Danio rerio: one gene and its partners. The protein of the gene in region 2 purifies or fractionates together with the protein of the main gene of each other region. This does not show direct contact. Links are inferred from orthologs where the notes say so. Each region holds a gene or a part of one and is shown on either strand. Other genes may lie near its edges. The genes, in order: daxx, rela, carm1, tnip2, map3k8 and kpna3.

The links.
Region 1: the proteins of rela (region 2) and daxx purify together in Homo sapiens (affinity purification with western blotting; 4 studies listed by BioGRID and IntAct, with this or other methods). This does not show direct contact. The link is inferred for Danio rerio from reciprocal best matches to the Homo sapiens genes RELA and DAXX.
Region 3: the proteins of rela (region 2) and carm1 purify together in Homo sapiens (affinity purification with western blotting; 4 studies listed by BioGRID and IntAct, with this or other methods). This does not show direct contact. The link is inferred for Danio rerio from reciprocal best matches to the Homo sapiens genes RELA and CARM1.
Region 4: the proteins of rela (region 2) and tnip2 purify together in Homo sapiens (affinity purification with mass spectrometry; 4 studies listed by BioGRID and IntAct, with this or other methods). This does not show direct contact. The link is inferred for Danio rerio from reciprocal best matches to the Homo sapiens genes RELA and TNIP2.
Region 5: the proteins of rela (region 2) and map3k8 purify together in Homo sapiens (affinity purification with mass spectrometry; 5 studies listed by BioGRID and IntAct, with this or other methods). This does not show direct contact. The link is inferred for Danio rerio from reciprocal best matches to the Homo sapiens genes RELA and MAP3K8.
Region 6: the proteins of rela (region 2) and kpna3 purify together in Homo sapiens (affinity purification with mass spectrometry; 4 studies listed by BioGRID and IntAct, with this or other methods). This does not show direct contact. The link is inferred for Danio rerio from reciprocal best matches to the Homo sapiens genes RELA and KPNA3.

What each region holds. Positions count from the first base shown.
Region 1 is NC_133194.1:8,077,659-8,081,158, reverse strand, and holds part of daxx (death domain-associated protein 6), read left to right. Parts: coding exon 1-91; intron 92-1,229; coding exon 1,230-1,346; intron 1,347-2,420; coding exon 2,421-2,652; intron 2,653-3,500. UniProt on the Homo sapiens protein: Transcription corepressor known to repress transcriptional potential of several sumoylated transcription factors. Down-regulates basal and activated transcription.
Region 2 is NC_133182.1:1,094,741-1,098,934, forward strand, and holds the start of rela (transcription factor p65), read right to left. Parts: upstream 2,801-4,194; 5' UTR 2,749-2,800; coding exon 2,742-2,748; exon of another isoform or gene 2,520-2,741; intron 1-2,519. UniProt on the Homo sapiens protein: NF-kappa-B is a pleiotropic transcription factor present in almost all cell types and is the endpoint of a series of signal transduction events that are initiated by a vast array of stimuli related to many biological processes such as inflammation, immunity, differentiation, cell growth, tumorigenesis and apoptosis.
Region 3 is NC_133178.1:33,005,879-33,009,378, reverse strand, and holds part of carm1 (histone-arginine methyltransferase CARM1), read right to left. Parts: intron 2,672-3,500; coding exon 2,546-2,671; intron 2,393-2,545; coding exon 2,286-2,392; intron 2,130-2,285; coding exon 2,025-2,129; intron 1,643-2,024; coding exon 1,532-1,642; intron 1-1,531. UniProt on the Homo sapiens protein: Methylates (mono- and asymmetric dimethylation) the guanidino nitrogens of arginyl residues in several proteins involved in DNA packaging, transcription regulation, pre-mRNA splicing, and mRNA stability.
Region 4 is NC_133176.1:40,471,500-40,475,774, forward strand, and holds the start of tnip2 (TNFAIP3-interacting protein 2), read right to left. Parts: upstream 2,801-4,275; 5' UTR 2,401-2,800; coding exon 2,080-2,400; intron 1,621-2,079; coding exon 1,327-1,620; intron 1,239-1,326; coding exon 1,149-1,238; intron 971-1,148; coding exon 692-970; intron 559-691; coding exon 442-558; intron 1-441. UniProt on the Homo sapiens protein: Inhibits NF-kappa-B activation by blocking the interaction of RIPK1 with its downstream effector NEMO/IKBKG.
Region 5 is NC_133187.1:25,362,868-25,367,103, reverse strand, and holds the start of map3k8 (mitogen-activated protein kinase kinase kinase 8), read left to right. Parts: upstream 1-1,436; 5' UTR 1,437-1,463; coding exon 1,464-1,495; intron 1,496-2,430; coding exon 2,431-2,752; intron 2,753-3,267; coding exon 3,268-3,438; intron 3,439-4,236.
Region 6 is NC_133176.1:50,010,958-50,014,993, forward strand, and holds the start of kpna3 (importin subunit alpha-4), read right to left. Parts: upstream 2,801-4,036; 5' UTR 2,773-2,800; coding exon 2,704-2,772; intron 1-2,703. UniProt on the Homo sapiens protein: Functions in nuclear protein import as an adapter protein for nuclear receptor KPNB1. Binds specifically and directly to substrates containing either a simple or bipartite NLS motif.

The DNA of each region.
Region 1 (3,500 bases), on a different chromosome or scaffold from region 2:
GATCCGCCGGCTTCAGGAGGGGGATTTGAGTTTGGATGACTTGGAGAAAGAAGATTCCAGTTATATTCAAGAGCACAAACTTAAACGCAAGGTCAGCTTGTTTATTCCTGATTTTAGTTCTTTCTGTATTTATTTAGCCGGGACAATGCTCAAAGAGAAAAACTTTAAATTAGCCAAAGTTAGTCACAAGAATTTTAGGGCGTACTCACACTATGCTATTCGAACCGTGCCCAGGGTTTCCCGGATCATTTCAGAAGTGTGAGTGCTCTGAATCGGGCTCAGGCACGGTTAAATGTCATATATATATGAGCAAAGTGCACCAGAGGCCGAAACTGAAGATGAGACGTGACTTTTACAAGACTGTTTAATATGGCATTATTATCATTCGTACTGTTCAATGAACACAAACTGTTGTAGATTTTAAAGACGCAAACCCCTCACTGCACGACAGCTGCACCTTCAGCAAACCTCCTAATTCCTGCAGCACGAGGTCTTTATGATTGTTTATGAGCGTCAAAAGTCATGGATCTGTTCGGCGAAATATTTTACTGCGTGTCACCGCATTCTAAATGACTTAAACAATACAACTGATTAAGAAATGTCCACTGTGCTGAGCGAAAGCGCTTACTGAACAGTACAGCATCGATGACGTAAGGGTGCCCAGGCCTGAATGTAATGTGAGTGCGGGCCGTCGGGGGAGACGGAAGGGGGACAAGCGTGCTTTGGCCTGGTTCAAGGCAACTGTACAGTGTGAGTTTGCCCTTAAATTTCATCTGTTGCCTCCTGCCAGGCATATATTCGTTTTCCTTTCGGCTTAGTCCCTTTATTAATGTGGGGTCGGCACAGAGAAATGAACCTCCATTTTATGCAGCATATGTTTTACGCAGTGGATGTGCTTCAAGCTGACCCATCGTTGGAAAACACCCATACACTATTATTCACACACGTACACTACAGACAATTTAGCTTACCCAATGCACCGCTCCAACCTTAAATCAAAAACACATTACTACACATACAATATCAGTAAAATTACTTGCAACAAAAAATTAAAAAATGGCAACATTTTCTTTAAAAAAATTACATGATTACAAACCCCATTCACTTCTGCCATTTTTTTAACTTGTATTCAAAGATTCAGTTAAATCTGTTTTGATGTATAATCTATGAAATCTATAGCAGAAGTTGTGAACGTTCAGAAGTTGTTATAGCTGTTTTTGTGGTGTCAGATGATGAAGATCTATGAGAAGCTGTGTGAGCTGAAAGGCTGTAACACTCTGACGGGTCGAGTGATCGAGCAGAAGATCCCATACAGTGGAACGAGATACCCAGAGATCAACAAGAAGGTGCGGGCTTTTGCTTGGACAGTTTTTTTACTTTATTTTCATACATTAAAGCAATTTAAAAACTAATATCTAGACTCTCTAAAAAGAGGGGAGTTTTAGCTCAGGTTTTAATTAGTTTATAATAAATTCCCTTAAAGCATAGGCTAGAAAATTTGAAATAAATAGAGATTTATGTATGATAGCGATCATTGATCAGATGATTCTTTTTAATACTGTTTTATTTTGTGTGTTTATTTCAAGTAAAACATGATTTATAATATCATTGATTTGTATTTGCTTGAAGATTCATTGTTTTAGGGATCAAAAATGGTTCATAAGTATGGATTGGTTTTCTTTTAGCATCATCAAGTAACGATTGTAGTATTTGCTATAGTTTAAAATGTGTTATTTTTAGATTAACTGCTTTGAATTTAAATTATTATTGATTATGGTCTTTTGTAGTTATTTTTGATGTTATACTTTTATTTATTATAGTTTCCTGGCAGCTAGCAGAAATAAAAGTTTAGTTTTTGTGATGTATTTAAAATTATAAGTTAAGGTTTATTTAATTATTAACTAATTATTTTGGTTTTCATTAACTACTGTAACCTTAATATTTTATAATTCAATAGTGCAGAAATTAGTACATTTACTTAAATTAAATTAAATTAATTCAGTTTAATGGAATATTTATGATTTTAAAATATTTGTTGATTAAATAAATGTGTTATTTTTCGATTATCTGTTTTTAATTTAAGCTTTATTAGTTTGATTATGATATTTTCCTGTTATTTTTTGTTGTTATACTTTTATTTGTATAGTTTCTTTGTAACTTGCAGAAATAAAAATAAGTTTAGTTTTTGTCATATATTTACTTTAATTAAATCAATTATAAATTAATTTAAATGTTTGTGTTATTATATTTGAGAATATTATTTTATTTTATGTTTACATTAAATGCCTCCTGATAAAACTCAAAAATGCTTATTGAACTAGCCTATTCCAGGGGCCTAATATTAATAAATGAATCAATGTTTACCCAAACCTTTTCCTCTCTCATTATCTCTTATTGTTTCTTCTCTTTTTGTTGAGCAGGTTGAGCGTTTCATCAACAGTTCAGAAGCTCTTCTCAATCCTCCAGACTACAGCGATATCCTGAAGATTGTGCAGAGAGCCAACGAACGCTACAATCTCCAGCTCTCCCGCAAACAGCAAGCACAGATCTCCCAAGAAGCCTTCAGAGAGACGGGCAACAAACTACAGGAGAGACGACACCTTGACATGGTCTACAACTTCGGCTCTCATCTCACAGATCCATACAAACCAAGTAAATCAGTTTCATTTAATAACTGTCTAATTCAGAAGGAAAAGCTCATATTGTAATAATCTAATGACTTGAATTTTTGATGATTCAAACTAGGGGTGGGCATTGATTGAGATTCTGATTCATAAGCAATCGATTCAGTAAATGTAGATTTAATCCGTTTTAAAAGTTCTATTGCAGGCATTAAAAGTCGGGGGTTTTTTGTGCAAGTTATGGATTTTTATTTATACGTTTTAAATAGTACTTCCCATTAATCAAAATATAATTAAATTACACTGCTCTTGAGTGAAAAGTAAGGTGTCTGGGTCATGGAAATTTAGCGTTTTAGTAGGTGAAAATCAGAAAAGTCAGGGAATTTGCTAATCAAATCACTTTTATTGTCGCATCATCAGCAGCATGTGTGCTATGATGAGTGAAAAGCTTAGGTGCTGACTCCAGACACGACAAAATACAGATACAGTGCAAATACAACGACAGTGCAAAATACAGACAGTGCAAACACAGTGACAATGTGAAATTGACAGCGATATGTACAATGAATAGGTGTCCACATCGTTGTAGGTAGTTTTGTTTCAAGTATGGATTGGTTAAAGTGCAGTGCATGCTACATTTTGATGGTTTGCTGTAAGGGTTATGGAAGAGTCTGTGTGTGGGTGTGTTAAGTGTTCATCAGCCTGATAGTCTGAGGGAAGAAACTTTCCTTCAGCCGGCTGGTGCATGACCGGATGCTGCATACAGTGGAAATACAAATACTTTAATACAAATGCTATTGATATTTCTAGAAAGTGATCAGGTGCATGTGTATTTTATTTGACTTTTTATCAGATGAATGTGAGAAGGAGTGATAATAA
Region 2 (4,194 bases):
TAAATTGCCCATAGTGTATGAGTGTGTGTGCGAATGTGTGTGGATGTTTCCCAGAGATGGGTTGAGGCCGCTGCGTAAAAACTTGCTGGATAAGTTGGCGGTTCATTCCGCTGTGGCGACCCTGGATTAATAAAGGGACTAAACCGACAAGAAAATGAATAAATGAATGAAGACAGCAGAGGTCAGTGACTCATTGAATTATTCAACCTGACATGTTTACTGCTCCAAAATATATTAAATACTTCTCAAATTAAGATATATTGTATTCAAAGGGAAACTTTTAGTTTTTTACTCAGACATTTAAAAAGAATATATTTTAGAGCAGTAATCACTATCCCATGAAACTGTGGTATCTTTATCCAAGGTTATTATACCGCCAGAATCTTATACCGACCAATGCCTATAGTTAACTAGAACTAATCAACTAACCTACCACTAACAACAACACAAATATTGTAATAGAGCAGCTTTACTTTCTCTCAATCAGTTCACAAATGTAACTTTGGTTACTAGTTAGCTATGACTAACCAACCCAACACTAATACATGTTTATTATCAGATATTCACAATGAACAAGTGGCCAAATAAACAAGCTGCATTACATCCTCTAAATCAGTGAGTTCACAAAGGACACTTTGACTACTAGCCATAACTAGTACTAACTAACCCATGTTTATTATCAGATATTCACAATGAACCTGTGGCCATTATTGTGATACATTTGCTAAATCAATGAGATCATTAAGGCGACACTGACTACTAGTTTTCTAGCACTAACCAACCCACCCCTAAACAGGTTTATTATCAGATATTCACAATCAACAAGCAGCCAAACAAACAACATTTTGAGCAGTATTACTTACTCTATATAAGGAGACTTTAACAGGTTAACTAGAACGAACCAACCCACCTATTACCAAACATGCTTATTATTAATATTATTATGATTATTATTATTATTATAAAACATTCACAATGAAACACAAATATTGTAATGGAGTAGCTTTACTTTCTCTAAATCAGTTCACTAACATGGCTTTGGTTACTAGTTAGCTACCACAAACCAACTAACCTACAACTAAACATGTTTATCATCAGATATTCACAATGAATCAGTGGCCAAATAAACAACACAAATATTGTAATAGAGTAGCTTTACAAAAGTACCTTTGGTTACTAGTTAGCTAGCACTAACCAACCCAACACTAATACATGTTTATTATCAAATATTCACAATGAACCTGTGGTCATTATTGTGATAGAGTAGCTTTACATTTGCCAAATTAGTGAGTTGATTAAGGTGGCTACTAGTTTTTTAGCACTAACCAACCCACCCCTAAACAGGTTTATCATCAGATATTCACAATGAATCAGTGGCAACAGCACAAAAATTGTAATAGAGTAGCTTTACTTTCTCTAAACCAGTTCAAAAAGGTGGCTTTGGTTACTAGTTAGCTAGCATTAAACAACCCAACACTAATACATGTTTATTATCATATATACACAATGAACAAGTGGCTAAATAAACAAGCAGCATTACTCACGCTAAATCAGTGAGTTCACAAAGGTAATTATGACTACTAGCCATAACTAGCTCTAACCCACCCCTAAATATGTTCATTATCAGACATTCACAATAAACCAGAGGGCAAACAAACAACATAAATATTGTGACAAAGTATCTTTACTTTTGCTAAATCAGTGAGTTCGTAATAGAGTTCATTGACTACTAGTTATCTAGCACTAACCAACCCACTCTAAACATGAGTATTATCATCAGACATTCACAATGAACAAGTGGCCAAATAAACAAGCAGCATTACTCACGCTAAATCAGTGCGTTCACAAAGGTGATTATGACTACTAGCCATAACTAGCACTAACCCACCCCAAAATATGTTCCTTATCAGACATTCACAATAAACCAGTGGGCAAACAACATAAATATTGTGACAAAGTACCTTTACTTTTGCTAAATCAAAGAGTTAATAATGGCGTTCATTGACTACTAGTTATCTAGCACTAACCAACCCACTCTAAACATGAGTATTATCATCAGACATTCACAATGAACAAGTGACCAAATAAAGAGTATAGATATACTTTGAGTAGCTTTACCTGTGCTAAATCAGTGAGTCCATGAAGGAGATGAGTTTATAACCAGAACTAGCCAACACACCCCTAAACAGGTTTATCGTCAGATGTCCACAATGAACAAGCAGCCACATAATACAAATATCACGTTAGTGCATCTTTACTTTCGCTACGTCAGTTAACGTTAGCTCACACAGGCGATGAAGTTTACTAGCTACTAACTAGCATTAACCAACCCACACAGAACTTAGCAGTTAACGTTACCAGGAAAAGTAACATAAGTTAACGTAACCTTGTCAACAAGCCACTTTCCGCGTATCGCGTGATCTCTGAGGACTTTTTGACAAGTATTTGAAAGTGTTTTTGTTTGTTTGTGTACACACACACACACACACACACACACACACACACACACACACACACACCTGTAGGCCGCGATACGTCAGCTCTGCAGCCTTGTAATGGTTGTCGTGTTTGATTCTCGTGACCCGTTTACCGACCTGAGCCCCGGAGACAGGGGACCGATCGATTCTCAGCCGAAACCGAGAGTAAAAGTTTAGCGGCGGGACTTTCCCTTCCGCGCGACACCGCAAACCCCCCGTTGGCGCCGTTCACATGCAGAAACCCGGCATTAAAGCTCGACTTACCGTCCATGTCGCGGGTCTCCACAGCTCTCGGTCACTTTTTAACGTTTCCGGGCGACGGTGAAAAATAAACGACACACCGCGACAACACTTTCCTTCCGCGCGCCTCCGCGGGACTACAGCAGGCGCGCTCCCGTGGGCGGAAATACCCGGATGACGCGATTCATCATCACCAACACGACTGCTGAGAACACACGCGCACTGTAGATTAGCTTATGGGCAGTATTTAGCAATACAAACTTATTTGTCGACCAAAATCAATGTCAAATGAAGATATGGACTCAGATGTCTTGTTACATATTCACTGTTTTTGGAATAATATACTGTATTTGGTGACAAATAATGAGAATACTTTTGGCTTCTTCACTAAGAAAAGTCTGACATAATCATCTAACTTATATTCAACTATCTAGTAAACTATCCAGGCCTGTAGCCAGGGCGGTTCAGAAGACCCAGCCCTAAATGACTAGGGTCCAGAATTTGTCAAATACAGTTGAAGTCAGAATTATTCGCCCCCTATTTATTTTTTCCCCCCAATTTCTGTGTAACAGAGAGCAGATTTCTCCAACATATCTCTAATCATATAGCTTTAATAACTCATCTCTAATAACTGATTTGTTTTCTCTTTATCATAATGACAGTGAATTTGACTAGATATTCTTCAAGACACTTCTATACAGCTTAATGTGACATGTAAACAAATCAGACTTTCTCCAGAAGAATAAAATATTATCAGACATACTGTGAACATTTCCTGAATCTGTTCAACATCATCTGGGAAATATTTAAAAAAGAAAACAGATGCAAAGCCCTGCTAAAAAATCCAGCTTAAACCAGCCTAGGCTGGTTGGCTGGTTTTAGCTGGTCTACCAGGTTGTTTTAGAGGGGTTTTGGCCACTTCCAGGCTGGTTTCCAGCCATTTCCAGCCTGATCTTAGCTGGTCAGGCTGGAAAATGACCAGCCAAATCCAGCAAAAACCAGCTTGACCAGCCTGGTTTAAGCTGGATATAGCTGGTTTTGGCTGGACTCCCAGCTTGGCTAGGCTGGTCAAGCTGGTTTTAGCTGGTCATCTCCCAGCCTGAGCAGCTAAGACCTGGCTGGAAATGGGTGGAAACCAGCCTGGAAGTGGCCAAAACCCCTCTTAAACCAGCCTGGTCGACCAGCCTAGACTGGTTTAGGCTGGATTTGTCAGCAGGGAGGGTGCTTATAATTTTGACTTCAACTGTATTGCTGGCAATGCGAATCAGACTCCTACTCTGTTCATACAGGGATGAGAGACAGCCCTAAAATAAATATTTTTGGTACATCAAAAAGTGTGGTTATAATGACCACCCAACAAGCTAATCCAGCTAAACATAGTAGTTTAAATGACAGCTAAATACAGTATTTAAATCTCATAATTAAATAGAAAACGAGACGAATAACTGCAAAAAGGTCCAAAAAGAATCACCTCTTA
Region 3 (3,500 bases), on a different chromosome or scaffold from region 2:
CCTGGTTTTGTTTGGTGTCAGTGACTTTGAAACCAAGATATTCCCATATTATCGTCATGCGTTTTTTTCTTTGATATTAATTTGTCTATTAATGCTTCTAAAGCTGCAGACACCGTCATCTCACTCGTTTGCGCTTTCCTGTTTGTTTGTATTTTATTTTGGGCATTCCGCATAGTTTGATTGTGCAATTCTGATTGGGCAGAATGCAAGTGTGCTCACTTAATTGGCTAGTAAGACTGTCACACACAGATGGCAGTTACACATTTGGTCTGGGTGGGAAAGTTAATATATATTTCATATAGCAGCCTTTTGCCATTCGCTAATCGAAATGTTTCAAATAACGATTGCTATTCGATTTCGATTAATCGCACAGCCCTATTTTGTTCATATGAGACCTCAAACCTATGCAACAAAACAATGCAAGACTAAGAACTCAAAAGTGACTCCTTAAGTGTAAAATATGAATGATAGTTTTCAGCACGGCCTAAAAATAAACATTAAACTGTTAGTTTTGGTATCTGGCTGTGTCATCTACCCCATTAACCAATCAGGTTCAATTTGCTCCTTTACATTAGGTAGTGTACTTGTGCATAGATGTGTTAAAAAGTGTTAAAGCGCAAATAAAAAGTTGATTATTTCAAAGCATGGTAATATCCCAGGACAGCGTTAAAAAAATCTCAATAGAACAGTACATCAGCCCAGTTTTCATGTTTTAGCACAGTTTTTCCAAAATGTTAGGTGCATGAGCAGCATCGTATGATAAACTTATTTAAAAGAGTTATTTTCTATAAAAGCTAATCTGTAAAATTATCTCTGCAGCAAAGAACTTATTATACATGTTAGAGCAGAAATAAATAAAAACAACTTTAATGGCGAAATAACCTCCCTACAAAAACACAAGAGGAAAAGGACTTTTGATTTTTTTTTCTATTTAAAAATAAAAATATATTGTAAATACTGTTAGTTACTGTAAGAGTAGAACAACGGGCCGTTTACAAAGAGTTTATGGCTAAAATGACCCTATTAAATTATCTTAACAACCTTAAGTATTTTTCTTTGAGTTATTTTATTTGTGAGTCTGTGGTAAAGATAAATTATCCAAACTTTTACGCTTTGCTGTGCAACAAACATATTTTACTCATATAAATGTTTATTTTTATTTTCAAATGTAGTAAGAATGTGTGTGTGTGTGTGTGTGTGTGTGTGTGTGTGTGTGTGTGTGTGTGTGTAACGTTCACATTGTACAATAAAACCTCCAAGTACCAACTCCTAAACTGTAAAACCTTCAGTGAACAAGTGGCAAATTAGAGTTTTGGTTTTTAACGTCATCTTTGCATAGGTCTATTACAATGATTTGTGGATGATCATGTGAAACTGAGAACTGGAGTGATGATGCTGAAAACTCAGTTTTGCCATTAGAAGCATAAACTCAATTTTAATATATACAAAAATGCTGCCTTGGTAAAAATAAGAGACTAATCTACCTTTTTTGAACAGAAGCGCATGTCAGTGATTGAGGAATGTGTCTAACCTCTGCATGTTGAGCCATGGTGCTGGCCTCCACAGCATAAACTTTACGGGCACCAGCTTGAGCTGCAAAAAATGAGAGAATGCCAGAGCCACAACCTACATCCAGCACCACCTGAGACAAAAAAAAAAAAGATAAAAGGATGCATAAGAATCACAAGACAAGGCAAGACCAAGTCCAAACCACAGATTTAATCTAATAAGAAATCATTCAGAAAAACATCATTCAAAAAAAAGAGCAACCTTTCAAAATAAATTTGACTCAGGTGTCCCCTTTTACTTTGTCGCAATAAGTCAACTGTTCCAGCTTTAGGTATTTAAGTCTGAACAACATCAAAGCTAAACCTTAAAGTCATAAAAGCAAAAATGCCTGACTAATGACATTTAGGAACAAAAAATGCTCAAATAAGCACTGAAAAAACAGTTTGAAAACTTCTCAACTTGTAAGCACATTTAACACAGAAAAGGAGAAGAGAAAATAAAGAGAATAGCTTTACTTTATCCTTGAAGTCAGTATGATTCTGGAGGATGGCTCGTTGATATGTTCCAGTTCGTACATAATCCTGCATCATGTTTTGTTGCTGAGAGAGATACCCATAAAACTGAGAGAAAGAAAATGGAGGGAAAAAGATGTTCACAACATGCCAATTCCGGTCATGCTAGTCAGATTTTCTCTAAACTTGTTCTTCATGGTTCAGCTTGTAAGGCAAAATCAAATGAATATCTGCACGTGCAGGGCAATAAGAAGCCAGACACACCTGAAAATACTGTACAGCTGAAGACTCCTCTGTCCTGTCACTAAAGACTGAACGGTCGCCTTTTTGTCCACGACAAATTTTCAAGAGGTTATAGAACGACGAGAAATCTAGTGAAAAACAACAGCAGTGAACACATTAGGACGAGCTTGATTCTTTTATTTAATTGAGTTTGCACACCAGCTGACTGGCGATGCACTTGTCTGAAGGTCTGATAAATCACAATGAAGGATTATGGGCTTGTAAAAGAAGCTGTGTTTTACCTGCTGGAGATGCAAACTGCAAGAGGACACTGTTACAGCCTAGAGTTATGATGAAGGACTGCTTCCCGACACGACTGCACTCTGTCTCCCGCAATACTGTACACTTAAAGACACACGTCTCCTCATCTGTGGAGGGGAGCAAAACATTTCCTTTAGAATTCAATAACAGTGTTATTATAAATCTAATAGGCAGTCTGCATTAAAACAACTCATAAGTTTGGATATTATTGACCATTTTAAGTGAAGAAACAACAACTAATTGTTCTGAAAATGTACGTTTCAAAACATTATCCATACAGTCACAGTCAATGATCAATGTCAATGGTGCAAAACAACACTGGACTGGCATTTACAGCGATAACAAGATTGATTTTAACATTTGTGCTCCACAGGAAAATAAAAAACTTTAATAAACTGGAATAAAAGGGAGTATAAATGATAATTTCTTCACTTTTAAGTGAATAATTGTTTAAAAATTTGTGAGGAAAAAGTTCATTTTAGTGTTGTTTAAAGATTAAATGTGACTAATTGCATGCGAAAATTACCTTACATGAGTGTAAAAGGCTTTGGGTGTATGGTAATAAATGCACTATATAAAACCATATTACATTACAAAATAAAAGCTTTTATTTACTTAATACATGTACTGTGGATATGTATTATGTATACATAAAAAGCACACACATACATGTGTATACTTTAAATATATTTGCATTTATAATACTCATCTTTCCTGGGAGTTGTTTGCTGATTTAATGTTACCATTACAAGCTTAAACAAAATCAAACCAACCAGCCTTGTTCAAAGACATTAAGTTGGCGAGCTCTCGACACTGCAACAGTAAAAGGTGATGCCAGGATGAGGGATTTTGTCATTTATTTCCCCAGCTGTTGTAGGATTATCTCAAGCTTTCCACAGACAGATTAGGCTGGTAGTCAATTATATAATTGAGTTG
Region 4 (4,275 bases), on a different chromosome or scaffold from region 2:
GTTTTTCCTGCAAAGAGAATTGTGAGGTGGCCACCTCCATAATTTTTTGCACCACCTCCAGCTTTTGACCAATCAGGCATGCAGTCACGGCAACCAACAGACCCCAAGTGATGCTCAAGCATTGGTCATTTATTTAGTTGCATATAATATCTGCCTTTTTAAATATGAACATGTTTAACTTGAGTGGGTTACTAAAAAGAATGCAAAATGTGCTTGTTTCAAGTAGCAAACATTTCATCTTCCATCTTCGGCTTATTTTGTGCCAGAAAAAACCCTGTCGTGTTTGTTCAAATACAACTTATAAATGCTTATGTCCATTTATTTATTTTGTAACGCTAAATCAGAATGCTACAAATGATTTTATTGGGACTTTAAATGATACAATGCATATTTTAAAATTATTTTTAAATACCTTGATGAATAATTAATAATTAGACTTGCCTGTGAACGTATTTGCAGCTGAAGTCGCCCAACTTCATCTTGAAGGTCCATGATTTTACCCTGAGCCCTCTCTCGGTCTGCCCTTTCCGATTTAAAGTCTTCAACATAGGCCAGAACCTGTGAGTGTACAAGTAAGCCATTTGTGTTATGGGCAGCAAGCCAAACAACAAAACTACTTCTCACCTTTGTTATGACAAAAATACAACGACTTCCTATTTAATAGGATTGTACACACTGAACGGATACAGACCTGCTGCTCGAGCATCTGTATCTGCTCTTGGTCTCTTCTCGCATTGTCATCCCTCTCTCTACTGAATCTCTCACACTCCATCATCTTGTCCTGCAGGAGGCCGTTGAGTCTCACAATTTCCTGCTGGAACAAAGCCACGTGTCCCGCAGTCGGGGCTTGGGTTAGAGTCGGATCTGCGGAAGCCAGTCCATTTGACTCTTTCAACTTCTGACACAAACCCCTCACGTACTCTTCTCTACTCGAGTCATACTTCTGCCATTTTGAGTTTAAACTTTCCACCTGAAATGGAACAAAACAAGTTGTGATGTGAAAAAATTACATGACATTTTCCAAGAATTTTTTTACACTGTTGATTCTTTCCGTAACAGTTACAGTATGACATTTTCAGCATATGACACAGGTAAAACAAATGTCAGAGGGTGATGATCAAACAACAGTTCCATCATGTGATCCTTACATATGCCACTCTCTTCTTGAGCTGGTCGTTCTCCTCTTCTAACTTGCTAATGATGACATTTAGCTGGGGAACTTCGGGGGAATCTGATGTCTGATAAAATATAAGGTCAAATATAATCATTAGGCAGCTGTTTTAAAGGTGCCTTAAATGTTGCAGACTGACAGTTTCCACAACGCACCTCATGAACTTGAGTTCTCTGATCCGTCATGGCTGTTTTGTTTTTCTCGTTTTCCAGCCGTCCCAAAAGCTCCTGACACACCTGCACAGTGGCCCCCAACTGGGCCCTTAACTGATCGGCTTCTTCAGCAAGAGAGTTGCAAAGTACAGTCCTGGTGGCCTGTGTCCGATCTCTTTCGGCCAATGTGGTGCGCAGTTGCTGGATCTCCCTCTCTTTCTCCTGCTCTGGTCTTTCCCTGATGGTCAGCAACTCTTGATCCCTCTCCTTCAACTTTTCCTGCAATCTCTGGATCTCCTTAAACAAGCAGTCGGGAGATTCACAAATGAGAAGGTGAACACGAAATGCACTTGTTTCATCAAAACTAAAGCATATTCTGTATTCATGAACAAAGTTGTACATAAAAAGCCGGACTAACAGTACAAACAAGCAAGAAAAACAAAGCTTAAACTTAAGTTTTCTGGTCAGTTTTTCAAAGGCACTTAATGTTAGCTGACTTGAAGACCACCATAAACCAGCTAAGACCAGCAACACATTGTAAGCTGGTTTACATGTTTTGTTTTTGTGATATAACATTAATTTCATTACAATTTCTTGAGTTAGGAATTGGAGTATTTTATAGAGAGGATACTTTACAGTTCTTTTACAGTCATTGGAAAAGTATACTGACAAGAAAAACAACAAATTTACTCTAATTAGTAGAGAAAATGTTATTAATTATTTCATATTATTAATTCAGAATTGTGTTTAACTTACTTTGTCTCTGGTTTCCAATTTCTGGGCAGTGTCTTTCTCTAAATCCTTCAGTTTTTGCTTTAATTTGCAAATTTCCTTACACAAACTTTCGATGAGTGACTTCGATGGCCCTACAATATAAGGTTCCTCTCCCTCAATGACCACGGTTTTCTCATACTTCCCCAGTCTTGCCCTCAAATCGGCAATAATCCCGTCTTTGGAGGTCACCAACTGATTTAAACGAGCAATTTCTTGCTGTGTTTCGTGGTAAATTGTGTTGAGAGTAGAGCAGCTGCGCAACTTCGCCCTCAGCGCCTCGTTCTCCCTCTTCATCTCATCCATGCTGAGCAATCCGTTAAAACGAGCACATATAGTACAAATTTCCCATATATTGTACAGGTCTGAGTGTCATAGGGCTCACAGGCGTCTGCTGTAACTTATGTTAGACCAAAATGTTTCAGAGCAGTTTCAGTCTGCGAGAGCCTCACTCAATTTCGAAATTATGAACAGGGGATTTCCTCACGGGGACTTCCCCCCATCTCAAACTGGGTATATTTTTTGTACTGCACATAAAACGTCGAGAATAGTTGGGGTTACAGGCGCTGTTTTGCCTTCAAACGAGTTAACTGTCGAGTCGTGTGCGGTTTAATAGTGATTTTACACGTTTAAGAGACAGTCGACTCGCTCCTTCGTGTCGGATTAAGTTTACAGTTCAGTTTGACGCCGCCTGGTGCGCGTGGACGAGGATTGCGCGCGACCAGCATGCTACTTTATACTGTCAGTGACGCGCGTGGTGGTTAAACGTTTGCTTTTAGCTTCCTTGGTTATAACGATTAAGTTTGTCACGTCGCTCCCGAACACGGTACAACGAGCAGTTTAACACGCACAGTATTCTCAAGTAGCATCCGTGAAGGGAGTAGTCAGTTGAACTTGGACAGGTGACAAATCTTTACATATGGAAACGTAGGTAAAGTTCAAAATCGAAAGCAGGAGTCTATTCACACCATAGCTTATTATAAAAATATCCCACACTTTAAAGTATAACGTAGTCCAATATCAAAAATAAGATTAACCCTTTTACAAAACGGAATTCTTTAGCTAAAGAAAGCTGTAACATGTTGTTTCCTATTTAGCTCCATTGTTTTGTTTCCATTGGGAACCGAAACTGTTTACCTTTCTGTTAGTCTGTTTACCAGAGGCTTTCAGACACCACCACCATAGGACCCCCTCCTAAAATGTTAAAGATAATTCTTGTTCAAGACTAATAAATAATAAATAAATACATTAAATATATATCATTTCTACTCATCATTTTTGCCTGTGTAATTATTTAAATCAAATTAACTTTTAATAAAAAATATTTTGTATTTTTAATAAAAATATTTCTAAAAATGTTTAGTATAATCTAATCTAATATAATCTAAAAATATTTAGATTAATGTGAATCTTACCAAATAGTATTTTTAATTATTATTTTAAAAATGTTTTGAATATTTGGATGAAAATAACATAACACTGCCTAAAACTCCCCTTTCTTAAAAGATTCCATCTCATACCATTCCTCTTTTCATAATGGATAATGCCTGCCATTATCTTGGATCACATCTTGTCAATTGTCTAGACAATGAAAGCCAACGGTGCTTAGTTTGTGATCTGAAGATTGAACCATAAAACAGTCATTTTAATTACACAGTAATTAACAAACTTACAATGTCTAAACCCTCATTCTTAGTGCGAAGAATCTTTATCCCTCTGCCAAAAGCAGCACACATGAAACGGCAGAAAGTCCCGTTGAGCATGTAATGTTTGTGTGAGTTCATGATGTTCTGCCTAGGGAAAGTCCAAAACTGTTCTTTAAAGTTTGCCACCATCTTGTGGTATCAAAACAGCATTGACACGCATTTGACAGACGTGATATATTACTCATAAATATAAGTCAATCACGCACATGTATATAAATATAATTGTCACAATAAGAACACAGCTGAAGGTGCTTTTTCACACAACAGCCATTTCAGCTGTGTATACACATTTTTTATTGTTTAGGCATGCTTCTGCAGAGGTATGAAGTAAATCTGTGAAATTATAGGCAATGAAGTTGGTAATTACTCTTGGATCACATTAGGGCAACCCTTTCATTTGAGGATGGAATGTAGAAGTGCTTGCGTTTGCAACTTCTTGGCATTTAAGAACGGCTGGGAAAAACAAAAGGCAACC
Region 5 (4,236 bases), on a different chromosome or scaffold from region 2:
TGGAATATCCTTCCTGATAAGGTACGAGGCTCAGGCACACTCTCGCAGTTCAAAACTAGATTCAAGACCTATCTGTTTAGTAAAGCACACACAATGCATCACTTAGCGGTATGGTGAAGTTTTTTCCTCGCCTCTGTTGCCACTAGCTTGCATGGTTCGGGATATGTAGGGCTGCGCATCAATGGATTTACTCTTCATTGTTTGAACTCTCAATAGTGATTATTAAACCACACTGGACTTAGCTAAACTAAACTGAATTTAAACTTTAAAATCTGAACTACACTGTTTCAATCTACTATAATCTTCTATGTGAAGCTGCTTTGACAAAATCTATATTGTAAAAGCGCTATACAAATAAAAATGAATTGAAAATTGATTTGAACTTAACTAATATACTAGGTAAAGCAGCCGCTTATGGCCCCAGCGAATTAGGGGCCCCAACCTATGTCAGGATGCATATTAATCATATCTCTTTTAATAAATTCTCTTTTATATGCTGTAAAATCTGCTTATAACCTTTAAGATTTTAACATTATTACTTTTTTTCCAAACCAGGGGACCTCATGAACAATGGAATATTCCTTTCTTACTGCACATGCAAATTTTAAAAACACAAATATGGCTAATTAACTGTACATACTTTGTTCTAATAAATTACTTGTTATTTATTTGCAAATTTATTGTATTTCATTTAACATTAAGAAGATAAAGAATGCAGTGCAATATAAATATTTTTAACATGCAGATTTTATTTACAAAAAAATAAATAAATAAATAAAACAATATCTATAAAGAGAAAAAAAAGCTTAGAGCTTCATTACTAGGGCCCCCCAAATCACTAAAGCCAGCTACTGCTTATTAACCAAATGTATTATTATGGCAGCTTTGGCATTCCATAGCCTACTACACTAAGGCGCCGTTTACTTTCGGGGAAAAACTGAACTGTCAATCTGCAGCCTGGATATCCCCCAATTTGAAAACAGCGTTTAGATATTTTGATACACTTAAGACAATCTTGTCACTATTCGTTATCTGGATTCCCTGACACTTTCAACAAGTTTAGAAGTTTTGAAATCTCTTAATGAGCGAAAACAACAAAAGGACACATTTTTTGCTGGGTCAGCGGACTTCACTCATTTCGTATATAGACCAAAACTAGTTAGCTTCTGTTTACTACAAGATGGTTTCAACAAGGCAACTTTTCCTTTGGCGCAAATTAATCATAAAGATGAAAGCGAATGACATCCTCCTTCTACGGAACATTCTGATAGGGGACTGTGGCAAAATCCAAGCAGCAGATACGTGATCTCGATGAGAAGACGAGAAAACACCTCTCAGAGAAAAGAGAAAACGAAACCGCAGTGACGTAAGCGCACAGCGGAGGCGCGCAGCTCGCTGATTCCTCTTATCAGCGAGCACACGTCTGAAAAAGCTTCAGAGGGAACTATGGACAATCACTGAGTATGCGCCCTGCTGTGAACACACTGACTGAAAGGTAGGCAAACTGCTGGTGTTTTATAGATATCATTTATTTTGTTTAGTTATTTTTATGCTTCATTAGCCTATACTATTTCGAACAACGTTCAGAGTAGGCTAAATACTGTGGATTATTTAATAGGGCTTTTGGCATATGCTTGTCAGCACCCTTTCTAGTTACTCTTTTTGAGCACCGGTTCTTTTCATCAGTAATGAACAGCCTTTATTATTAAAAATTCATTATTTAACATAAACCAAAAATGGATATTCAGCGATGGTTGCCAAATCTGCATGTTAAAAACTCATCCAACTGCTATTCAAAACTATCCCCAAAGTGTCCGAGTCACACTCTTGGGTGTTAGGATGTTCTTCATTGTGTAAGATTCAAATGCACAGCAATAGGGTAAAAGTACCCCAGTTTCTAAAGGAAACAAGAAGTAAATTTGGCAGCAGTGTATAGGGTTGTATTTCTGCAATGCTTTGGAAAGTTCTGTTTTTTGTGTGTATATCAGTCACCCGATCACACCATATCAATTTAGAAACAGCACATGTAATAGGTCAAAAATGATAAAACATAAAAAAGTGATTGCATTTATTATGATTCAGCCATTCTGATAAATCATCTTGGGCTAGTCATTTTTACTGCTAGCATGTCCCTCATAATTGGTCATTTTTGACCTCAAAAATGCTGTTATATTTTGTTCTTGTTTGTTTGTTCTTGAGGAGAAAAAAGAGAGTTAATACAATGAAAAAGTTCCATTTGTCATTCATTTTAAAGATGTTTTAAGCCACCTCTCACTTGCATGCAAAATAGAGCAGGCAAGCTGTTCAGGAAACATACCTGACCACACAGCAAACATACATATGGGTGCAAAAACAACATGGATGAATGCATTCATTTCAATGTGTTGATGTTTCTAATGATCAAACATTTTGTTTTATTATTCAATCAAGGATGGAGTATGACAATGGAAATTCTTGTATAGAACTGCTTCTTGCACACATAAAAATTGAGGACTTCATTCAAGAGGCAGAACATTTCTACAGTGTTGGTGAGGTGGTGGAATCTGGTATTTCGTTTGAGGAAGGTTTCTCGCAAGAAGAGATGGACGAGAATGAGGAAACGGCACATGACCTAATTAAACATGTACAAAAGACTGGAAAGGTCCGTTATGGGACAACATCTGACCTCCTGGACTTTGTGAATATGGTCTCAAACACACCATCCTCCTCTCTTTTAGATGTTGGTAGAGAAATGGGTGTTCTGGTGAACAAGGTAAGCTTCATTGGTTCTAAAACTTACATCAATATTTGAAGGGTTTCTGAGGCCTTTCCACCAGCTTCTTAAATTAAAGCATAAAGACTTAAATTTGTATGATCATGAGAGTAAATATTGCATGCATTGAAAAACATCAAATATATAGTCAATCCTTCACAGTCTTTATTTTCAATACAAATATCTATACATCATACTGAATTATACTGAGAAAAAAATGAGCTTATTCTATAAACAAGATCCCATTTTTATCAAACTTACTTCTAATCACTGGCACTGAATAATATGTAATTTTGCATTTCAAGTAAATCTTTATTTGACATTTGTACAGGAAAACAAGACAAAGATAGGAAGAGCATTATTTTTTTGTAGTGCGATTTGAAGAGTAAAAGTTATTTACATATTCTAGTTTTGTGACCTGCTTTGGGAGTTACATAATCCCGTGTAAAGGAGTGTTTATACTTGTTTAGCAAGATAGCCTTTGGTGTCATAAACACCCTGCTTTGTCCCTACAGACAGACATGATCATTAAAGAGGGGCATTATCGCATCGACTTGGACGTCCTTCTCTTTCCGTGGAAACTGACCTACAAGCCTCAGGGCCCTGGACACGTTCCCAAAGGCTCATTTGGGAAGGTCCATCTGGCTCAGGACACCAAAACTCGGAAGCGAATGGCATGCAAATTAGTAAGTAAGGGAATGCAAAGTATGTTTGTTTCCGGAATCTTTACAGGGTTTTACTTTTTTTTTGCTTTGGCAAAGGTAGATGTTTTCACTCAACTAGGAGGTTTTTATGGACATAGCTTTCCTACTGGGAATCCGCATTCTATTATCAGTAAGGTTCAAAATATTTTTTTTAAATACTTTGAAAGTACTCTAATAAGAATTAAGCATAGAGTTCATTCATCATCATCAGCAGTTGTCACATGAAGATAAATCAAGGAAAAGACACATGATACTGAATGATGTTGTGATGAACTTATGATTCAGCATGTGATGACACATGGCTTTATTAACTACAGCCTAGTGAAAAATCGTTCTGAAAAGCGAAACAGGTTTTACAGAAACTGTAGCAGCAGTGAAAAAGTGTTTAAAAATGAGGAACAGCACTTTTGGGAAACAACACAATTTCCCTAAAATGTTCAAAGGGTCAGTATGCAGCACGCAGTGTTTTAACAGAAACTGAGAATGGCACTAACGCACACAGGAAGTGGACAGAAACGCCCCCTGTGGAAACATGCAGCCTACAAAGGCGTCTTAAATTAGTGGCAGAGTGCAGATGAAAATTTGATCTTGTGGTCAAGTTTAACAGTTGCAGTCCTCTTTTAGACGTGTGAATTAAACAGCTTGCCATGTAAGAACTGGATGGATAAACATTATTTAGTCTACAAGGAATTGTCTGCTTTGGTGGAACATGTGATTTGGTGGAACATATGACAGACAGGTTGTCCCTCTCTTGTGCCAAGAAGCATGTGATGAAAGGAA
Region 6 (4,036 bases), on a different chromosome or scaffold from region 2:
GGAGACCTCAGGGGTTACGCAGATGAGCCCACGGCAGAAGATGATAATGATGTCTAGTATCAACAGGGTACGAGAGCAAATGAGTTCATCAAAAATGTGATCGCAGCACCTTGATTACAATAACACCCATTTGAATGTAAGTTCAGTCTCTAATAATGATGGTCCTCTTGACGTCTTCAAATAGATACTATTTAACTTAACTATGTTTGATCATGTAGTCGAGTTCATTTTATTTTGGTCATATATATTGTCACTATCATTTTTTTCATTCAGCCGATATCAATAATTATGACGATAAATGTCACATCTTTATATCTATTAATTTAAAAGGATTTTCAGCATGCCAATCTCATTGCAACTGATTTAAGCTGTCTGACAATATAAATAAAATAATATAAACAATCAAATAATCTTTTCGCAGGATTAGACATTACCCTACAAGTTATTGTATATTATTGTTCAACATCAGAACAAAGTGAAACAGGTTTGGAACAAGTACAAGGTGAGTTAATGGTGTATATATCAGTATATAGTAGAAGATATATAGAAGACTTGCTTTGTTTCCCAAATAAAGTGGATCTAATTGGATTTGCACAGTAAACATTAAACACAAGTTAAAAGGGTATTACTTTTTAGTTCATATATTAGGGTTTTAGTTATGATACTCCCAAAATCATTCTGCATAAATCCAAAGATTTTTAACAAAATTCTGTGCAGAAATAGCAAAAAATGTCCGCAGATTCAGTCTGGCCCTAGGCGTCTAACAGTTTGCAGTGCACGTTGCTCTGTTTTGTGTTGGATTTCAAAAAACTATATAGCTCCAGACTACTGAAGTTTAGTGACGTTTCTAGTTAACAATAGCTATGTTTCCATCCAAAAATTCTAATTAACTTTATGCACAAAACTGGAATATCGCATAAATGAAGTGCGAATAAAGCAGCGTTTCCATCCAACGAGTCAAAGAGAATAAAATCGTAACTTCCTAATTAACCGCCGCCAAAAATCAAAAGTAAAAACGAAATTTGCAGCGGTAGAAGCTTTGTGAATCTTTTATTCATTTAATAAATAACTTGCGGCATCATAGTTTATGCAAATTCTTTTAACTAATAAAAAGTTTATCCAGTTATGCACATGTTTTTTTTTTGTGCATTTTCAAAATATATGCGCATCTTGGCGTTTCCATCAACCATTTTTTATGAATATTTCCAAAATGCACATTAAAATAGGTGGTGGGCAACATAGCTAGTGCCTGTGACCTTTTTTTTTAACTCCAAGTCCAACTTACACTGTATGGCTGTAAACTACTACTACGTGCGGCATCCGGAAGTGCAGGCTGCAAAATGCCTGTGCAGCGTTAGTTACGCATAGTGTATAAACATTATCGAACACTTAATATATGGTCATTATCGGAAAAAAATATATATCATGACAATTATCGTTTTGCTGTAATATAAACAATGAGCCAGATGAAACTAGCTATGGAGTATATATCTCCATGCTCTGTAAGTGTACAGCATATAACAGCTAAAGCTGAATCAATATACAGTACTGTCATTTGCATTTATTAATTTGATATGAGGACTGATAATGAAAGTGCTTAGGCTTTACATAACAGCTTTATTTCTGTTTACTGGCAGAGGCAAATGACAGGGTAAAAATGTCATACATCATGTCCAGCTTTATGCAGGTTAACCAAGAAGATAACTGAAATTATTGAAATTAAAAATAAGTTATGGGCAATTGTGGAGAATACAGAAAAACTCAGTTGTTGCATTACATAATGCATCATTTTTACAGCACATCCTGGCTTACTAATATTTCTAGGTCGCTTTGATACAGCCTAGATTTTGGTGAACACTACCATCTGGAGTTTTTCCTTTCCAGTTTGAGGAAAATAAAATGAGGTTTGTTTGGCTCAGGTGTATCTACAGGGGAAGCTAACTACCACACCAAAGGCAATCTTTTTGAAGAGGAAAAGAAGTTAAGCAGCTGACATTTCACAATGACATCTTCACTAAAACAACCCCTTTCGGCTCAGATCAACCAACACGTTTGTTAAAATCCCCTACAGAAGGGCTGCTAACCTGGCGTGACTGAACAAGCATTAAGGAGGTCAGATGTTGAGGTGTGACTGGTCACTAGTTCAGTTCTGGAGAGCTTGCTAAAGCCGGTGTTAACACACCTGTCTCTGGCGCATGTATCTGGTTCACAAGTTATACTTTACGTTATTCGCTCATGTTTAAGGCGTTTTAATTGTATACATGAATGTTAAATGCGTGGACACGACAAAACACGAGTAAACGTATCAATTAGACGAGTAAGTTAGCTGCCGACTGCTAACCATTTAGCATAGATGCTAGCACGATAAATCTGCATGTTTTGGCCCAGCGCAGTTATAAATGCAAAACTATGTGCGGAGTTACTAAACCAACATAACAAACAAATCCGTCTTGATTTTACACGACTAGACAAAGCAGTACAACCGCCAAAATCCGTGTATAAACCGCGATGAGCTGTAGAATATTGAAGGGAAATGTGTTTAAAGAGGCCTCTATGTAGGCCGCGCCCGCTCCCCATGATGCTCTTGCTGGATCTACAAACACCCGCTCCCTTCTGACACCATAAAACCAGAACCACACAGGCTCAAGGGGAAGAAAACGAGTCGAAACAAAGCCCAGGGTTCAAACTCTCCAGCGGACTTACCTCCACATCTCGCCCCTTGTTTTTGAAGCTCTTAATGCGATGGTTTTCCAAGCCGGCGTTTTCGGCCATGGCTCTGTGTGTATGTGTGTGCGCCTGTAGTCCCGACCGACGTGCGGAGCTCCGCTCGGGGAGGAAGAGGAGGGCGGGGGGTGTAGCGACGTCCGATTCGCGATTCAATGAGTCAGATTTTTTAATGAACCGGTTCGCTAAATGAGCGGTTCTCGAGTCACATTATAGTTCACCCAAAACTGAAATTCTGTCATCATTTATTTGCCCTGTAGTTTTCCCAAACCATGTTTTTCTTCTGTTTAACACAAGAATATATTTCAAAGAAAGCTAAACACCTGTAACCTCTGACTTCCATATTATTCTTTTTTTCCTGCTTTCAATGATTTTTCTGTTCAACAGAAGAAACTGATAAAGGTTTATAGCCTTACCACATGAGGGTGAGTAAATAGTGAGCAAATGTTAGTTTTAAAGCGATTTTCAGCCGCTGATAAATAAAGGTTAATGTGACTATTTTCAATTTCATAATGTTATTTTTTCAGCATCAATATGTAGGCTAATTTAATTAAAATATAGTCCATTAAAAAGACTTAGGCATTCGTTTAGTCGTTCAAACATAGGCCTAAAATAAGATGAAAGGCCATTTAAAGGCAACTGCAGAGCACAGAAACTCCATAGAAAATTCTATCTCTGTATTTCCAGCCTGGTCTTAGATTGTCAGGCTGAAAGATGACCAGCTAAAACCAGCCTAACCACCTAAGACCAGACCAGAAATAGCTGAAACCAGCCTGGAAATGGTTGTTGCTTGATCAGGTTGCGGGTGAAGGATAACGAAAATGATTTATATTATTTATTATTAGCCAAAGAAAGACCAAGAGACGACACACAATAAAACGTTCCATTGCAACAGCAGCGCCCAGCAACAGATTCCGCCATTTTGGAGGGAAAGCGATCGGCTGTCCATTAGATCTTATTGCTGCCGCGATGGCAAGCAGCTGCTTTGTTTATTTATTTAAAAAGCGCATTAAAGCTGAGATCCAACCTGAAAGACGAAAATACAGCACTTACTATGACAATCAGCAGCACTTTTAATAGTTTATTTTTCAGACTTACAATATGCTGTTGTTCTATTGGAGTTTCCATTACAAAATCTGCGCCATCAAGTGGCTGTTTCCCAAATTGCACTAGAGTGTCGCCTCTTAGTAATTCTTTGCTGTTTGACATAGCAAATGAAGCCCCGCCTTTTAGTACAGGAGCCAATCAGCGATCACTATTTGGTGAATAAAGCCCACTTTCTAGTACAGGAGCCAATCAGCGAACGATATAC